Linked DNA regions of Mus musculus: all the other regions are reported to be linked to region 2. The links are microRNA targets in miRTarBase. Many come from high-throughput screens and were not tested one by one. Region 2 holds a microRNA gene; each other region holds the end of a gene's coding sequence.
The links. The annotated mature microRNA mmu-miR-125b-5p reads UCCCUGAGACCCUAACUUGUGA and lies in region 2 at 1,433-1,454, shown strand. An mRNA with a match to its seed (bases 2 to 7 or 8) in the 3' UTR can be bound and repressed. Matches are read on the target gene's strand: a 7mer-m8 pairs with bases 2 to 8, a 7mer-A1 pairs with bases 2 to 7 and ends in A, and an 8mer does both.

Region 1: miRTarBase lists Smo as a target of mmu-miR-125b-5p. The part of its 3' UTR that is shown has no 7-base or 8-base seed match.
Region 3: the mRNA of Ppt2 is a reported target of mmu-miR-125b-5p. Seed matches in the 3' UTR shown: 7mer-m8 at 1,133-1,139.
Region 4: miRTarBase lists Map2k7 as a target of mmu-miR-125b-5p. Seed matches in the 3' UTR shown: 7mer-m8 at 1,585-1,591, 7mer-A1 at 1,906-1,912, 7mer-A1 at 2,017-2,023 and 7mer-A1 at 2,066-2,072.

The regions. Positions count from the first base shown.
Region 1 is chr6:29,759,605-29,763,756 of GRCm38, reverse strand. It overlaps Smo (smoothened, frizzled class receptor), which reads right to left. Exons shown (of 12, transcript NM_176996.4): 11 at 4,139-4,152; 12 at 2,391-3,905. The coding sequence ends at 3,472. Among named protein-coding and RNA genes, the nearest start is that of Ahcyl2, 6.8 kb to the left of the region's middle.
Region 2 is chr16:77,644,847-77,649,158 of GRCm38, forward strand. Mir125b-2 (microRNA 125b-2) reads left to right here and starts at 1,427; the gene lies at 1,427-1,497.
Region 3 is chr17:34,613,988-34,618,139 of GRCm38, reverse strand. It overlaps Ppt2 (palmitoyl-protein thioesterase 2), which reads left to right. Exons shown (of 9, transcript NM_001302396.1): 8 at 422-476; 9 at 653-1,478. The coding sequence ends at 796. It overlaps Egfl8 (EGF-like domain 8), which reads left to right and starts at 2,169. Exons shown (of 9, transcript NM_152922.3): 1 at 2,169-2,233; 2 at 2,854-2,973; 3 at 3,139-3,261; 4 at 3,362-3,471; 5 at 3,561-3,656; 6 at 3,800-3,970; 7 at 4,049-4,131. The coding sequence starts at 2,873.
Region 4 is chr8:4,244,885-4,249,036 of GRCm38, forward strand. Map2k7 (mitogen-activated protein kinase kinase 7) reads left to right here. Exons shown (of 12, transcript NM_001164172.1): 10 at 1-119; 11 at 659-704; 12 at 811-3,013. The coding sequence ends at 945. Tgfbr3l (transforming growth factor, beta receptor III-like) reads left to right here and starts at 3,330. Exons shown (of 7, transcript NM_001195258.1): 1 at 3,330-3,468. The coding sequence starts at 3,399.

The DNA.
Region 1 (4,152 bases), not on the chromosome of region 2:
ATTCATGCCTTAATCTCAGCACTCAGGATCTCTGAGTTTGAGGCCAGCCTGGTACAAAGCAAGTTCTAGGACAGCTAGGGCTACATAGAATAACCATGTCTTGAAAAAAAACCAAAAAACAAGACCTGAGCCCTTGTTTCAAAACAAACAGTAGAAAGAAATCCAAGAAATACAGACTGTTCTTTTTAAAAATCAGAGAACTGACTCCTGGCAGCTGTCCTATGAAAACCACATGACACATGGGCATACACACATGCAAATAAACATAATAAAAATGTTTATATGTGTGCACATGGGTACACATATACCACCTTGAGGACTCTGGGGATCAAACTCAGGTAGTGAAGCCTTTATCTTCTGAGCCATCTGGTTGGTCTTGCCCGGCATCTTTACATGGTTTTCACACTTGCAAGGCAAGTGTTTTATCAGTGAGCTATCTCTCCAGCCCTGGTTGTTTGTCTATTGTTCTTTATGATTTTCCATGTCTTTTCAATTTTTTACACTCAAAGCTCAAGTGGGCAGGGGAATGGTTAGGGCAGTGCAGCCTGCTGTAAGGAAGCTAGGGCCAGGGGCTGGAAAAGCTGTTCAGAGGGCTGGCTGCTCTTCCAGAAGATCTGAGTTCAATTCCTAGCACTTACATAGCAGCCCACAACAGTAACTCCTGATCCAGGGGATTCAACACCCTCACACAGACATCCTTGAAGTCAACATAAAATAAAAAAGAAGCTGGAACCAATAGAAGTAGGAACAGGAAGTCTAAGGTTGAGAGTGTGGTAGGAAAACCCAAGAACCCAGGTAAGGCAGAAGGCAGGGCTGGTGGGGAAGTAGTTCTCAGGACAGCAGGAAGCCAAAATTGGCATCTCTTGAACTTGGAAGTGTTTCCTTAGGAATTGGATTCAAAACTTTTAGAAGAAATGATGATCATTGTTCAGAGTGACTTCTGCCACTCCTACAGAAATCCTGTAAGGTTGCCTGTTTGCCTGGGTGTCGCAACACTGGACATCCAGCTGCAGTTTGAGCCTGCATGCAGATGCACAGAAAACAGAGTTAGGACTGTCCTCTAGTGCCCACAATCTGTCACTGCAACCATACAGGTTCCTCAGCTGTTTGAAGGCCCAGACTGACCTCAGTAGTTTATCCTTTACGTAAGCAATCCTTCTAAGGAAGAAGAAACAGAACGTGGAAAAGAAACAGTTAAATGTTCATGGAAATGAAATGAGGAAAACCGTAGCATTTTTTTTTTAATTTCAGAAAATAGTAACCAACACTGACAAGTGCCGAGGAGGGGGTAGCCTGAGGAAACACAAAATGGAGAAATCTAAGAATGAATTTCCACCAAGCTGCAGAGCCAGGACTTCGCAATCAGAAATACTAGGCCAGTGTGTGCAGCTTTCTGGCTATGGGGTTGTGTGCAAGTCACTTTGCTTTACTTTGCTGAACTTGATTCCATGCAAAGAGCACCATGGTTAGATCCCTGTCACCATGAAACCAGAAGGCCATGCCTGGATGCCAGCATTACCAGTAGCTGAATAGTTTGGAGCAGCCCATTAGGCCTTCTATGCCTCAGTGTCTTGAGGGGTAGAACAGAACCTGGCAGGGCTCTGAGATTGCCTGAGCTGAATTCTGTGGAGAGCTCAGAAGAGTGCCCCGCAAAGCCAGCCCTGGGTGTTAGCTTTCAGTGGTATATCATATCTACAAGTCACCTGGGATAAAACCAGAATTCCATTTCTCCTCTTTCTGGAAAATCTGGCTTGATTAAAACCCTGTTGTCCCCATCACACACACAGCTGAAGAAGGGACTATTCGTCCTAAGCCAGATCAGCACTCCACAGTACCCTCAGGTCTGTGGCTCTCACTGCCTTTTCTCCACAGACCTTGCTACATAATCTAGTCACTTGAATTCAGTTCCCAATCTTCTGCTGGTATTTTAAAGAAGCAAAACCAACAAGCTCTCCTTGTGTTTGAATTCCTTTGACTGCCCAGAAAGGAAGCTGTGGATCAGAATGTACCCGACCTAACATCTCTGGAAGGAGGCAGAGCATGCCACCCTGCAATGGTGAAACCTGGGACTGGCAGTAGCTGTGCCCGTCTGTATACCACCAGGAAAACACTCGCTTCCCATGGCCACTCCAAGGGCATCCTGCATGTCTGTCCTTCATTCTCTTTATGCTTGGAACTTAAGGATACAAAGGTGGCCAACAAGCACCTTTTGTTCATTTACTGCCAAGTAGCCAGAGAGAGCAGCCAGCATATTACGCTGAATCAGCCCTGTATCTGTCAGTCATGACCACACCAGCAAGCTTTCCACTGGTGAAAAAGACCTCAGGAGTTCATGGAAGTTCTGGACCAGGTACATAAGCCAGAGCTGGGGCTGGGGAAAAGAAACACGCATGAGCTTATACAAAAATGTTTTATTTGCTGTTCATATTTCTTCTTCTCATACTGAGCCCCTGACCCAAAACCCAGCCAGCTTCTAAGGCATCCTGTTGTCTGGTTCTTGAATGTGGGGCACTATGAAAATGACTAGACATTGTAAAAAGTGGGAGTCCCCCCGCTCCCACCAGAAACAGAAGTTGGAAGAAGCTTTCTTGCCTGGCTGAAGCTACAGAAGCTTCCCAAGGTGGTCCCTTAAGTCAGAGGGTCCTCCCCACTGGATGGATGTGAGGAAGAAATAACATGTCTTTCAGAGGCCTGGAGCTGAACCAGTAGTCTCTTAAGACAGAGCTCAGAAGTAAGGGGTGTGTGTGTGTGTGTGTGTGTGTGTGTGTGTGTGCATGCCTGTCTGTGTGTGTGAGAGTGTATGTGTGTGTGTGTCTGTGTGTGCTCACTGCAGTTTTAAGGTGCTAACCAGGAAGAGGTTGGCCTAGTGGAACTGAGATGTGAATGTAGGGATAGAACGGGAAAAGAGAGGATGTATTTTGAGCAGGGCCACCTGTGAAGAACAGTTATAGCCCTTATGGGAGTGGTCATTACAACTACCAGGAAGAGGAAAAAGAGAGTCCTGTCCTCTCCTAGACAAAGGACAAATGACACAATAAACACTTTTGGTCTGAGAGTGCCAGAAAAGGGCACTCATTGGCACAGAAAAGGGCAAACAGCCCTCATCTGCCAGACATGGGCTTGGTTACCTCACAGACCACCACAGCCCACTCTGGGTACCATCATCCCTGTCTCTGCCATTCCTGCCCTAGTACAAGCTCTGTCGGAGACTAACACTGCCAGTCAGACTCTGATTGGTGGGCAGAAGCAAGGGTCCTGAAGTGCAGGGTCCTGATTCTGACATGAGGCCTACCAATCGCTGTATTCAACTTGTTTCCATGGCCTGGCTGCTTCTAGCCAGACATACACAGCTCTTCTAGGCAGACACTTGGCCCACAGACTCTGTCAGATGAGACCCAGAGGTGTGCTCTCAGGAAGAGCCATAGAAAGGTGTACATTTGTCTTTCCCATCCTAGGACCTGCCCTGCAGGCTCAGAAGTCCGAGTCTGCATCCAAGATCTCAGCCTCCATTAGGTTAGTGCGGGAATGAATGGATCCCAGCCCCTGGAGGCGGCCCTGAGCCCAGACCCGGGGGGCTGAGGCACCAGGGAGAAATGGATCTTGATGGGGACTAGGCTCTGGGCAGAAGGGGTTGGAGACTAGAGTCCAGGCTCCCTGTCGGCAGGACTCCCCTGTTCCCCAGGCGTTTGCAGCTACCAGGCACTTCTGCCGAGGCAGCTGAGGCAGCCGAGGAACTGCACTGGTGGCAGGAACAGGGGCAGAGTGGTGAAGCTCAGGGGCTGGCCTCAAGGGGCACACCTCCTTCTTCCTCTTCCTCCGCTTTTTCTTCCGGCCCAAACGCTTCTCTAACTCTGGGGAGATCTCTGCCTCAACCAGCCACATGTTGGCTTGTTCTTCTGGTGGCACTGTCAGGGGGACAAAGAGCACAGCTTAGGGCTTTGTTCTGTTCTTTCCACCCTTCCCTCCCAGAATCCCTGTTCTTGGGTTCTGGGACCCGTCCCTCCAGGCTTCCCAAGCCTTGGCATCTCCTTCAGGTCCTCTGGGGCCTTTCCTTCCTTCCCCTAGTTCTACAACCCCATACATTCATTCCAAAGTGTCCACCCACCCCTCCTTCCTGCAGAAGACAGAGCCCTCATACCTGGAGTTGCCACA
Region 2 (4,312 bases):
CCATATTCAGTTTTAAGGAAAAAGCATGGACTTTTATCTAAGTACTGTTTTGTTTTATTTAATTTTATTTTTTTTCCTCTTTGCTTTTTGTGAATGCTGCTTTTTGGTTGTTTCTTTTGGTTTTGGTTTTATCTTTTTTTTTTCTTCTATAAAACTATTTATTTGGGGCCATAAGTGATTCAGTATGGGAAATCAAATGATAAACAGAAAGAGATCTTATATAATGATGCATTACATCACGGAACAGAATGCTTAAGTCTTACAAGGCAAAGTAAAGATCTGGGCAGGGGTGAAGGGGGGTGGTGGTTAGAAAGGGGTGTGGTACTAGGGTGGGGGAGGGGAACACTTAGCAAATATTTTGTTCAGCATAGCTTTCCTTGCAGCTTCCTGGAAATGGATGGTTCACCTGCCTAGAGGAAAACACTCTAAATCATTCCATTTCTCTCTCTCTCTCTCTCTCTCTCTCTCTCTCTCTCTCTCTCTCTCTCTCTCTCTCTCTCTCTCTCCCCCTCTCTCCTTTTCTAACCCCCCTGCTTTTCCCTTTTAAGATCAACCACTTCTGAAGAACCAGATTCCACTTCTGTGGCCAGGAGTTTTATGCTGTGCTAAGTGTGATTGTTTTGCCCTGCATTCTGTGCTACTAAACCTTGGATCATTCCTAAAGTCCAGATTCTGCTCTTTCACAACAAGGCGAAAAGATGGGAGAGAATTTGATGAATAGTCAGGATTGAGACTGTGTATTTTCAAAAGTATTGAACTATATAATGTAATTATTCAAAGTAAAGGATCTTTTTTTGTTTTCTTACTATGTTGCCAGGATTTTAAGTTAAAGCTTGTTAGGTGGTCTTGTTCAAATAACTATGAAGTGTGCATGAAAATATTTGCTGTCTGAATAGTTTGCATATTTAAAGAGAAAAATCAACATTAATAGGTATTAAATTATGACATATTCAAAGTTTTTGTTTAAATCTTATCTGTAATAATTTAAATGAGAGTTTGAAGTGTTGTATATCCTGGGCCCACAGTAACAGTTGTGATATATAAAACTTCAATAGAAGCAAAATATCAATTAGGGCCCCATTAACTGGCATATAATCCTTTTTTAGTGTAATAGAAGTGGGTGTTGCTGTAAAAATCTGCAAGGAGCATATTTTAACCCATTTTTGTCTCCTTCTTTGGATAGAATGGGGTGATTCTTAAATGTCCATTGTCTGCTTTGTTTTTCATGCCCCACATTACTGTAAGTTCTGATCTATAGGTGGCCGTCCTGATTATTCAGCTCATCTTTGACTTTCATGTGTTACTTATGTTTCTGTCTGTGTGTTTCAATTAGTATTTAGAAGATTAAAAATAAATGAACCCAACTCTAATTCCCAAGCTGTCCGTTTACCTGGAAGAAGAATTCTCCTGCATCACACGAGACTTTGCCTAGTCCCTGAGACCCTAACTTGTGAGGTATTTTAGTAACATCACAAGTCAGGTTCTTGGGACCTAGGCGGAGGGATACCAGCAGCTTGGGACCTTATTGATTCTCGGCATAAACCACCAGAACAAAAGAACAGGCATAGATTCTGCATAGGCGCAAAGAACAATGGTTTTCTTTCTAATCAGCAAGGGTTTCACCATGACAACACCCCCAAAATACAATCTTCAGAATCGGTACTCTAAAGATATGGCACAGTAGAATAGAAATAGCGTTTGTATTTACTGTGATTATCGTATAAAAGTGTTGTAAGAGATATGTACAAGAAGTAGAATTAAAACACAAGTTCTTTTTAAAAAAATAAACATCGCTTTGGGTGTGTTTTAAGATGAAGAAGATTCATTGTAAGAGTTGTTTATATTCATAAGTTTTTGTATGCGTAGAATTATATACATTAGTTATTTCAATAAATTATGCATGCTTCCATAGAACTGTGGCTTAGACTACGTCAAATGAGATTCTAATCATACTCGAGGCCTGAAAAAGAAACGATTTACAGTTTTCTTTATTGATCTTATTCTTGTTGATACTAATATGAGAGAATATTGTTTTATACATGGTAATTTTAGCCAGTGTTTCCTTAGTCTTTTGCCCACACATAACAGTATATATGTATGAACAACTGCCTTATTCTGAGATTCACAAAGTATATATTTAGGGAAAATACAGTGCTTTTGAATTTCTACATTTCACTTTGTGTGTGTTATAAAGCATTAGAGAATGCCTATGAACTCAGCTGCTCTTGTTCACATGTAAAACACGTCTGAGATGCAGGCTTTGATCAGAATTTTCATTACCAGAAGTAAATATTCCATCCATAGCCTGTGTGACTTATTAGTCAATGATACATTAAACATGTGTTTTTTTTGATCTATAATCAATAAATCTATTCCAAATATACAGTAACATTGCAGAAATTTAGGCTTAAAACAAGGTGGCTTTCATAACACAGGCAAGAGTGACTTTGGTGTTTTAACTCTGATGTTTCACCGTAAATTGTTTTCTCCATTAGTAAATAAACCTATGAATCTATTTTAGGATATCATGTGGAGTCTTTGTTCTGTTTTTGTTAAGGTTGTTACTATTGCTCATTACTTGAAATATCAAAAAAATGCAAAGCATCTTTATTGTTTCCTAAAAATAATATAATAGTATCATAAACACAGACTACGTTGAAGTTTGTGTTGATGTCGTATCAACACAAAGAATCTTTTTAGATTCTTTCCTGGCCTCACCCCTGTCATTTATCTAGAAGCTTTAAAATCTAAGTGTGTATATAAGCATGTTTTACGACTCCATGTGAAAGGAGTAAATATAAAGTCAGAACTTTTCTTTAATCACAAAGAACTCTATGTATGTGTATCTGTGAGCATCACACAAGCTTGATTCTATTTAACAGAAGCTTTACACAGATGATCAGAGAGGAGTGTGTTTACTAACACCTGTTTTATGATAATCATAAACGATATGCAAGTGTTACTTCATCAGTTGAAATCCACAATGAACTAGGGAATAATAGTAGTCAGCTATGATAGCAAAAAATTTAAATGTAAAGGTTTTCTGTTTATGCTATGATAATGAACAGTAGTATATATTAACTTAGATTTTATAGGAGAAAAAAATGCTAAAATAAATTTCACTTCTCCTGAACATCACATATATCATATATGATATACATCATGTATCTTGCAATTTTGAACATTCTCTGTGCAAAGCATGTGTTGTGTGAGAATACTACTCACAAACAAGTCTTATGCTATAAAGGTGTGTGTGTGTGTGTGTGTGTGTCTGTGTGTGTGTGTGTGTGTGTGTGTGTACATCAGACTTTGTTTCATAAGCTACTTTATGTTGTGTGTGAATGGATGTGACTATCTCTGCATTTCTCTCTCAGCTGTCACCAGATAATGCAGTTCTGTGGATTCATAATGTGACTTGGAAAACCAGATCATTCTAAGCTTAAAATAAACAAAAAGATAAACAACAAAGAGTGAGAAGATGATGTGGTTTGCATACAAAACGCAGTGATATTAGCAATCTGATGGCTTCTGGATTGGGAGAGCAGCCTGAGCCAGACGCATACATTAAGAGCTGTCTGCTGCCCATGTGAGCTTGCTCAGTGTATTGGAAATGAGGGATCACCTCTCCTCTGACACCAGCTTATTTGTACATTTTAATTTTGAAGTAGCAAGTCACTGTTCCAAGTTCATAGACTAACCCCTGCTTGTTTCTCTCTCTCTCTCTCTCTCTCTCTCTCTCTCTCTCTCTCTCTCTCTCTCTCTCTCTCTCTCTCTCTCTCTTATTGTTTGCTAAATTACTGTCAACTTCACATTCTTTTTAGAAATAAAAATCATTACTCAACTTAGCCATTTACTGCACACTAATGAAATAGTAGTTTTCCTTTGTCTCCGTTGTGTGCCTCTAACAATATTGTGATACCTGTGTTTTTAGGTTTAGATCTCTTTCAAGGGGAACTGGACTTATTTTTTTCTACATGACAATGTTTAAAGCATTTTAGAATCCATAAAGGAGACCATTTGGAATTTTGCCAGATCTTAATATGATTATATTTTCCTTTAGGATTCTCGAGATCAATATCACTCTCAGTTTAAAATTCCTAAACATTTCAGTCTTCCACTGACACAACAGAAGCGTAGACATATTCTTAAGTCATTTCATAATCTCCCAAGGAGGAATCTCCCAAGGAGTATCTCAGGGGAATTACAGTAAAAATTAATTATTAATGAAATTAGAAAAGGTGGGGCTTACCTTAAACTCATCTTCAAAATGGCATGCTGGTACACGTGCTAACCTTGAACGAATATATTTTAA
Region 3 (4,152 bases), not on the chromosome of region 2:
ATTTATTTATTTATTTATTTATTTATTTATTTATTTATTTTGGTTTTTCGAGGCAGGGTTTCTTTGTGTAACAGGCTGGCTATGCTGTTCTGAACCAGTTCTCTAGATCTTAAATTCTATCTTTTTTATTTATTTATTTATTTATTTATTTATTTATTTTGGTTTTTCGAGGCAGGGTTTCTTTGTGTAACAGAACCCTGGCCGCAGGACTCACTTTTTATACCAGGCTGCCCTCGACCTCTGCTTCCCAAGTGCTGGGATTAAAGGCGTGTACTACCGCAGATGCCCCCTAACTTCTTAGCCTTTGAGTGTGCTCTAGGCTGCCTGTCTCCCGGGGCCATGAGTCTCTGTGGGGGCACTAATGCACATGAATTTTCCTTGGTTCTCCTGATAACCTCTATGCACATACATGTCTTTGCAGCTTCTTTGGTTTCTATGATGCCAATGAGACAGTTCTGGAGATGGAGGAGCAGCCGGTAAGCCCCTCCAAAGACTTGCCTTCCCCCTCCCTTTGTCTCCACTTCACTCTGGGGCTCCTTCTGCCTCTGACTCCTGCTTCATGAGGGAGGGAGAGGTTGGTCTGGACATGAGCAGCGTCTCACTCCTGTCTCTCTTTCTTCCATGTTTCCATGGCCCTCGGCCCACCTCGAAGGTGTATCTTCGAGATTCTTTTGGGTTGAAGACTCTCCTGGCCCGGGGGGCCATAGTGAGGTGTCCCATGGCTGGCATCTCTCACACCACGTGGCACTCTAACCGTACGCTCTACGATACTTGCATTGAGCCGTGGCTCTCCTGAAGATGTCCTCAGTGGTCTCCAGGAATTCCCCAGCCCAGAGATCAAGCGGTGGCCTTGGGAAGCAGATGCCAGGCTCTGGCATGCCTGCAACCATCTTGTCATTCCCACACTGCCCGACCCCCACCAGGGCTCCCCTCCCCCCTCCCCCCCTGCTCCTCTGTGAATGACAAGTCCTGGTCCCCTACCTCATGTCCTCACTTGGGGACGCCTCCACGCTCTCCCTTTCTGCCACGGCTGAGGTTGGGAAGCAAGTGCCAGGTTTTTAACTGTGGCTTCACCGCTGCTGTTGCTTCTCCGGGTCTGGCTGTATCGGAGGAGAACCCAGCCCCTGCCCACCTCAGGGGTCTTCTTCCAGGCCACTCAGGACATTTTTAGCTTCTGTTATCCCCGTTTCCCTCTTTTCTCAACTTCCCTGTGGCTAGCCTCCCCACCAAGAGGGGCACCCATAAGAGGGGGTGTTCTGAGGCTCCCCTATGGGGACAATTCCACTTTTGAAGTGTCAGTGTTGGGGAATATCTGTGGCCTGCAAGGCCCATCTCAGGTTTGGGGATCCCCCAGTCCCTATGATCAGTGTTGGGGTATCCCCTGGGAGCCTAGGTTCTTTGAGGCCCCAGCCCCTCTTTTAACTACCCTTGAGTGGGTGGTCCCTGTATTTATAGAAATAAAAGATCCATTTCCTCAGCGTGGCTTGGCTTATTCCCAGGTGAAGGGGAACTGGGCTCCCCCAGGAGGGTGGGAATAGAGAGCCTGGGGCCTGGATGCCCGGATGCTTGGTCTGGGGTGGGGACCCCCTTGGTGTTTCCTTCCTCTCAATGCCCATTCTGTGTGGGTTCCTGACTCTGCGGGTTCTTTCCTGCTGAAGACAATTCTCTTCCTGTCCCAGCCTAGGGTTAGGGGGCTAAGCCCCAGGCTCTGCCAGTTTGGGCCTCGGCCTCATGGGTGGAATTGACATGCCACCCCCAGACTAGACAAGGGGGCTGAGGGTCAGAGTGGGCATGTGTCATCCCCCTTGACCTTTGGAGGCCAGGACCGGGTGAGGGGCTGTACAGTGAATCTCCCTTTGCCTGGGAGGAGGAATTTAGACTGAGACAATAGGGCCCTGTCTGTTCTGGCTTGGGGGTGGTGCCCCTCAGCCCCCAACAAATGCCATCAAGAGATGGAGACAGTTTTTCCCTTGGTGCCTTGGGCTGCCCCTGCCCTTCTGTGACGGCCGCTTTCTTTCCTCAGCCGATCTGGCCTACTTGGCCATGACCTGCTCTTGCTTTGTCTCCCGCCCTCTCTCCCTGCCCTCACATTATCCCACAGTCTCTTAGGCTGAAAGGGGGTGGGGTACTGGTTGCTATTAGAGCCGGGAACTTCTGATTTGGGGTCCATAATTCAGGGACCTCCGAAATTGTGTAGGTCCTGCTGGAGCAACACTTGGCTGAAGAGAAGAAGGTGAGGAAGGCAGGGCCTGTCTACTGAGCCAACCAGCCTGGGTCTGAGGAGCTAGTGGGAGGGAGACTGCTGTGTGGTCCAGCCCCTCTGCATCTTCTCAGCCAGAGAGGCCCACCCACCAGTGTAAGCTGCGGCTGCTGGGGCTGTTGCTGCTGCAGCCTCCTGGACAGGGAAACAGGTAGGAAGAGGAGAAGTGGGTAGGTAGGGAGAGGAAGTCAGTGGTGGGAAGAACCCACATCACTTCACCTTCCAGTGGGGACGAGGGAGGGGGAGGGCTTCTGAGTGAGGGGTGTCGGTATGATGAGAGTGTGGGGGAGCGGTGGATGCTTGGGTCGGGGTATAAGGTGTGTACACTTGTGAAGGTGACATATTCTAAGGCAGTGTGCAAGGGATGTGCAGGAAGGCTGGCCAGGAGCATTTAGAGTGGTGAGCCTGGCTGAGGACGGAGGGACCATGACTTGGTACTGGCAGGGCACGTTGGTTAGGTGTGCAGGCCACTGCAGACCATGGGAGTGGCTTGGGAAAGTCAGTGTCCTGACCACCAAGTCAGATTGCTTTAGGAGGGCCTCACCTAGAGACCCAAGGAGAAGGGAAGAGCTCCAATAACCACTTGTCTGCAGCCCTCAGAGTGAGGGAGCCATGGGGCTCTGGGCTGAGCTGTGCATTTCCCTACGAGGACTCTCATTCTTCCTGGTGCTGATGACGGGCGAAGGGACCAGAGGAGGATCTTTCAAAGAGAGGTGACAGCCAATGGGGAGGGCTTTGCTGGGATGGGGTTTGCCATGGGACAGAAAATTGAAAGTTCAGAATGAAGGCGAGATGCCAGGGTGGGAGGGGGGCGCCTGGTCTCAGCTGTGTGAGGTGCTGAGGGCCCGACACCCTCCTCCTCCCTGGTGTGCCTACAGTTTGGGAGTGTGCTCCAAGCAGACGCTGCTGGTTCCTCTCCGTTACAACGAGTCCTATAGTCAACCGGTGTACAAACCCTACCTGACCTTGTGTGCGGGGAGGCGCATATGTAGCACCTACAGGTGAGAGGTGAAGCCCCTAAGGCTCCCAGGTCTCAAAGGGACCCCAAGAGGCAAGTCCAGGATGGGTACCTACAGATATGAGCCTGCTTCTGTGTTCTAGGACCACATACCGTGTGGCCTGGCGGGAGGTGAGGCGGGAGGTACCACAGACACACGTGGTGTGCTGTCAGGGCTGGAAGAAGCCACACCCAGGAGCTCTCACCTGTGATGGTGAGGAGGCTGGGACTTCAGGCTGTGGGAGGCTTGCTGGGAGCTGGCCCTGTGTCTGGGTCTTAACTGTCTTCTCAAATGGACCCCAGCCATCTGCTCCAAGCCTTGTCTTAATGGAGGTGTCTGCACTGGACCAGACCGGTGCGAGTGTGCCCCAGGCTGGGGAGGAAAGCATTGCCACGTGGGTGAGCAGGATGGTCCCCCTCCCCCTGTCACACACATACACACACACACATGGGCAATGGGGGTGGGTGCTGAGATGGGGACTGCCCCACTCACCCTGCATCCTGCCTGCCCCCTTGAGCTCTCTTCTCTTTCTGGTAACTAGATGTCGATGAATGCAGGGCCAGCCTTACCCTCTGCTCTCATGGCTGCCTCAACACACTGGGCAGCTTCTTGTGCAGCTGTCCACACCCCCTGGTGCTGGGTCTCGATGGACGCACCTGTGCAGGGGGGCCTCCAGAGTCCCCGACAAGTGCCAGCATCCTCAGTGTGGCAGGTGAGTGTGGGTTGCCTGTGGGGTGGGCCTGGTCTGTGCTGCGGGGGAAGGCCACACTCTCTTTTTCCTTTGTCCTAGTTCGGGAAGCAGACAGCGAAGAGGAGCGAGCCCTGAGGTGGGAGGTTGCAGAGCTTCGTGGGCGTCTGGAGAAGCTGGAGCAGGTGAGCAGCTGGGAGAGGCAT
Region 4 (4,152 bases), not on the chromosome of region 2:
CCCTATAAGAACTGCAAGACGGACTTTGAGGTCCTCACCAAAGTCCTACAGGAAGAGCCCCCACTCCTGCCTGGTCACATGGGCTTCTCAGGGGACTTCCAGTCATTTGTCAAAGACTGGTGAGCACTCCCATGCTGCCTGTCCTGGCTCCTACCTCTCTACTCCGGGATGTTCTGGAATGTCTGGTGTCCTCATGCTACTGGGGAGGGTGGAGGCTGGGAAAAGGGGACGGGATGAGATGGGCACAGCTACAGGTACACCCATGGCTTGTGGCTGTAGACAGGAGTTAAAGCTGGAGCCCTGGGAGTCACTTTTTGGGTTTGTTTGGACCTGTGGGGAACCGCTGGCCCTGTGGGTGTCTGGCATGGCGACCCTGTGGCTTTGCAATGGAGGTTGTGTAGGAATATCACACTTGAGTCTTAACTTTCTCTGATGTGACCCTCACATTGCGCGTGGTTCCAGCTCCCCAGCTGGGTCTTTACCTAATACTATATTGGGCCAGGAGAGTTTGTGGATCCCCAGCCTGGTGGAGCCTGGCTGTGAGCAGCTGCTTCTGGCTTACTGGAGAGGGAGGGCCTGAGCATAGATGGGCATCCAGGCACAGTCGGGCTTCATTTTTCTGACTCTCATTTCTCTTTTCTCCCTGCTCTTTGTCCAGCCTTACTAAAGATCACAGGAAGAGACCAAAGTATAATAAGCTACTTGTGAGTACCTCTCCCCCAACCCCCACCACGTGTGAAGTCCTCCGGGTCTCAGTTGCAAGACCAGGAGGACTGACTCCTCATAATAAGCAAACTCTTGGGCCTACAGGAACACAGCTTCATCAAGCACTATGAGATACTCGAGGTGGATGTCGCGTCCTGGTTTAAGGATGTCATGGCGAAGACCGAGTCCCCAAGGACTAGTGGAGTCCTGAGTCAGCACCATCTGCCCTTCTTCAGGTAGCCTCATGGCAGCGGCCAGCCCCGCAGGGGCCCCGGGCCACGGCCACCGACCCCCCCCCCAACCTGGCCAACCCAGCTGCCCATCAGGGGACCTGGGACCTGGACGACTGCCAAGGACTGAGGACAGAAAGTAGGGGGTTCCCATCCAGCTCTGACTCCCTGCCTACCAGCTGTGGACAAAAGGGCATGCTGGTTCCTAATCCCTCCCACTCTGGGGTCAGCCAGCAGTGTGAGCCCCATCCCACCCCGACAGACACTGTGAACGGAAGACAGCAGGCCATGAGCAGACTCGCTATTTATTCAATCATAACCTCTGGGCTGGGGTAACCCCCAGGGGCAGAGAGAAAGCCCCTTGTCCCCATCCCCCCAAACTCCCAGTGTCTGTCCCCTCCACCTTCTCTCGCACACATGCTTGCTCTACGTCTTTCCTTCTGTCCCCTCCCTCTCTACCACTGTCCCTTTCTGGTTCCCCTGTCTCCCTCCCAGCCTCTGAAGCCTGGGTGCCGCCACTCTACCCTCAGTGGAAGGAAGCCCCAGGTTCATCTAGGCTTCCTTAAGTCTTTGTCCTAGGATGGCTTTGTGGGCATTGTGACTGCAGCCAAATGGTTGCTGTCTCTGTGTCTGTCTGTCTCTCTTTGATCTCAGGGGGTCCTTTTGGAGTTTATTGTATTTTATTGTACTTGGTGGGGGTGTGTTGGGGGGGGGGTGTCCTCATGGGGTCGGTACCTTCAGAAAATTTTACCAAAGTAATGTTTAGCTGCTTGTGGTGGCCCCCTCTCCTCCATTGCCTCAGGCATTGGGGGTTGGACTGCTTGCTGCTCCTTGTCATTTCTGGCCTAGGAGAGGCCAGGCTCCATGGGGGACCCTCACATGGGACTGGGAGCTGCTGACAGTTTGGGGTTGAGTAGAAGAGCTCAGGTGGCACAGAGGGAGACCAGGGGCCTCAGCCACACGATGGCCTTCAGGGAAGGTGTATGAGGGATGCAGTAGAGAGTAGCAGGTAGCAGGGAGGGACTGTTGGGAACAGTGACAGGAGGGAATCCTGCCAAGGGGCAGGAGGGGTCCCGAGAAGTCAGGGATTAGGAGTGAAGGGAGTAGATGTGGAGGTCCGAGCATGTGAATCAGGGACGAGACGGACAGGCGTGAATGCAGGGGAGGCCAGAGTATTGGGATGCGACGCGACTTACTCCCAACATGCCCCTGAGCATGCTTTAGCTCACCTAGAGCTGACCAGCTCCAACCCAACCTGTGGCCTGGACTGGGCCAGGTGCCTGTCCCATTGTCCTGCAGTTTCGAGGACAGAGTGGGGTATGTTTCCTTTTTGTTGGTGATGCATGCAGTTCAAGTGGACAAGAGAACAATATAACAAAACAAAAAAATTTACAACCACAAATCCCAGCACCAAAGTTGAGAAACCTTGCTGGAAGTAGCTGATGCAACCATACGTAGGCTTAGGTGACACTGTGGCTCTTAACTGTCCTGTTGACGCCTCTTCATCCTATTCTCACAATGCCGCATGCTTAAATCGTAATAGAAGTCATCTTCTATGCCCGGGTAGGGTAGGGCACCCTCTCTCCTTATCTCCTGTGTTGGGGAGGCGGAATGAAGTAGGGAGAGAGTAGCAAGCCCGGCCCCACCCTTACCATTCTGAGGCTGGCCGCAGCATGGCTAGCCTTTGTGTGTACTTAGGTCACATGGCTGGTCCCAGGGCCAGCACAGGCCCAAGACTGGGCCTGATGGTTTTATTTTTATTTAACTTTATTTTCTGTGTGTTGTCTGTCTGTCTGTCTGTCTGTGTTGTCTTTGTCTACTGCCCTCTAATGTTAAGTGGGAGTCTGGAGGAGTCTCCCACTTCCCCACCTTCTCCCAAGTCCTTCCCTCTGTCACCAGCCATCCCTCAGGCCCAGGCAGAGTGGGTCTCGGGCAGGTAGGGACCTGGAGTGGCCTGGTCCCACCCTCTGACCTCCTCCTCAGGCCACCAGTGTTGCCCTCTTCCCTTTTTAAAACAAAATACCCTTGTTTGTAAATCCTTAGACGCTTGAGAATAAAACCCTTCCCTTTTCTTCCGAGTCTGGTGTCCTAAGCCTGGTAGAGTGTACAGAGATATGGGAAGGGCCTGGGAGGAGGGCTTTTAGTGTGGTTAGGGATGACATTCATGGGAAACTAGCCGGGCCGGGAGCTGGGTGGGAGGTGTTTGGAGTGACCGAAGGCATCAGGCAGCTTTGTGAGGGGCCCCCCTTGTAGAAATTTCAGTACATCAAGAAAGCCCTTATCCATGGCTGGCCTTGAGCATGTGCTCAGATGTCAGCCCCTCCATCCTCCGCCCCCGCTCCCTGCTTCCCAGGGTGGCAGCCTCACCAAGGCCAGGGCTACCTACCCACACCTAGAGGGCTGGGTACAGCCCAGCCAGGTGCTCGCTGCCGGTCTGGAGCACTCGAACCTGGACAGGCCGCCATGGTGGGCACTGCGCTCCTGCTCCTGGCCCTGCTCCCTGGGACCTCCAGTAAGCACGGTACACCACGTGGTACGTAGAGGCTGCCACGGGGTGGGGGCATTGTGTCCCACTTGCCCATTGTCCCTTCTCAACTGCGTTTTGCACCTGGATGTGTGTGGTGGTGTGGGGAGGGGGAGGGGTGCCATCCCTTTTTCTTTTCCCAGACTAGCCCCTCTGCCAGTTGCCTTAAATTTCTCAACCAAGTGATGGTAAGGGCTGTGGATATAGGGTCAAGTGTGCAAATCATTCGTGATAAACCCCCAGCTAACTGCTGCTTGAAAGCAGTCATTTGCTTGTATAGGCTGTGTGTGTGTGTAAGTGCAAGCCTGGGTAAACACAAAAGAGACCATCCACCCTTACCTCTTGGTGCTCTCTCTCCTCTGTTTGGGGACTTAGAGATCTGTTGAACAGAAATTCCCAGTCCTGTTGCCTGTCTGTACTGAGCCTCTGCCCTCTGGAGGGATACGGGTGGGCACCCTCCTGACTGCAACAGATGCCAGTAACCTACTTCTCCTTAGTGGCCAGTAGCTCATACTGGATCTTTTAGACTCTAAGGCTTTAGCAACCTGGGCAAAGCAGAGAATCCTGACTTCATCTCTGCTGACCACCACCACAGGAGGGCATTAACTCCGTGTGTCCCCCACATCCCCTTGCCTACTCTGCAAATGGCACAAAAGGTCAGAAAATGAAAGAGCACAGCTTTGTGCTGGCTTC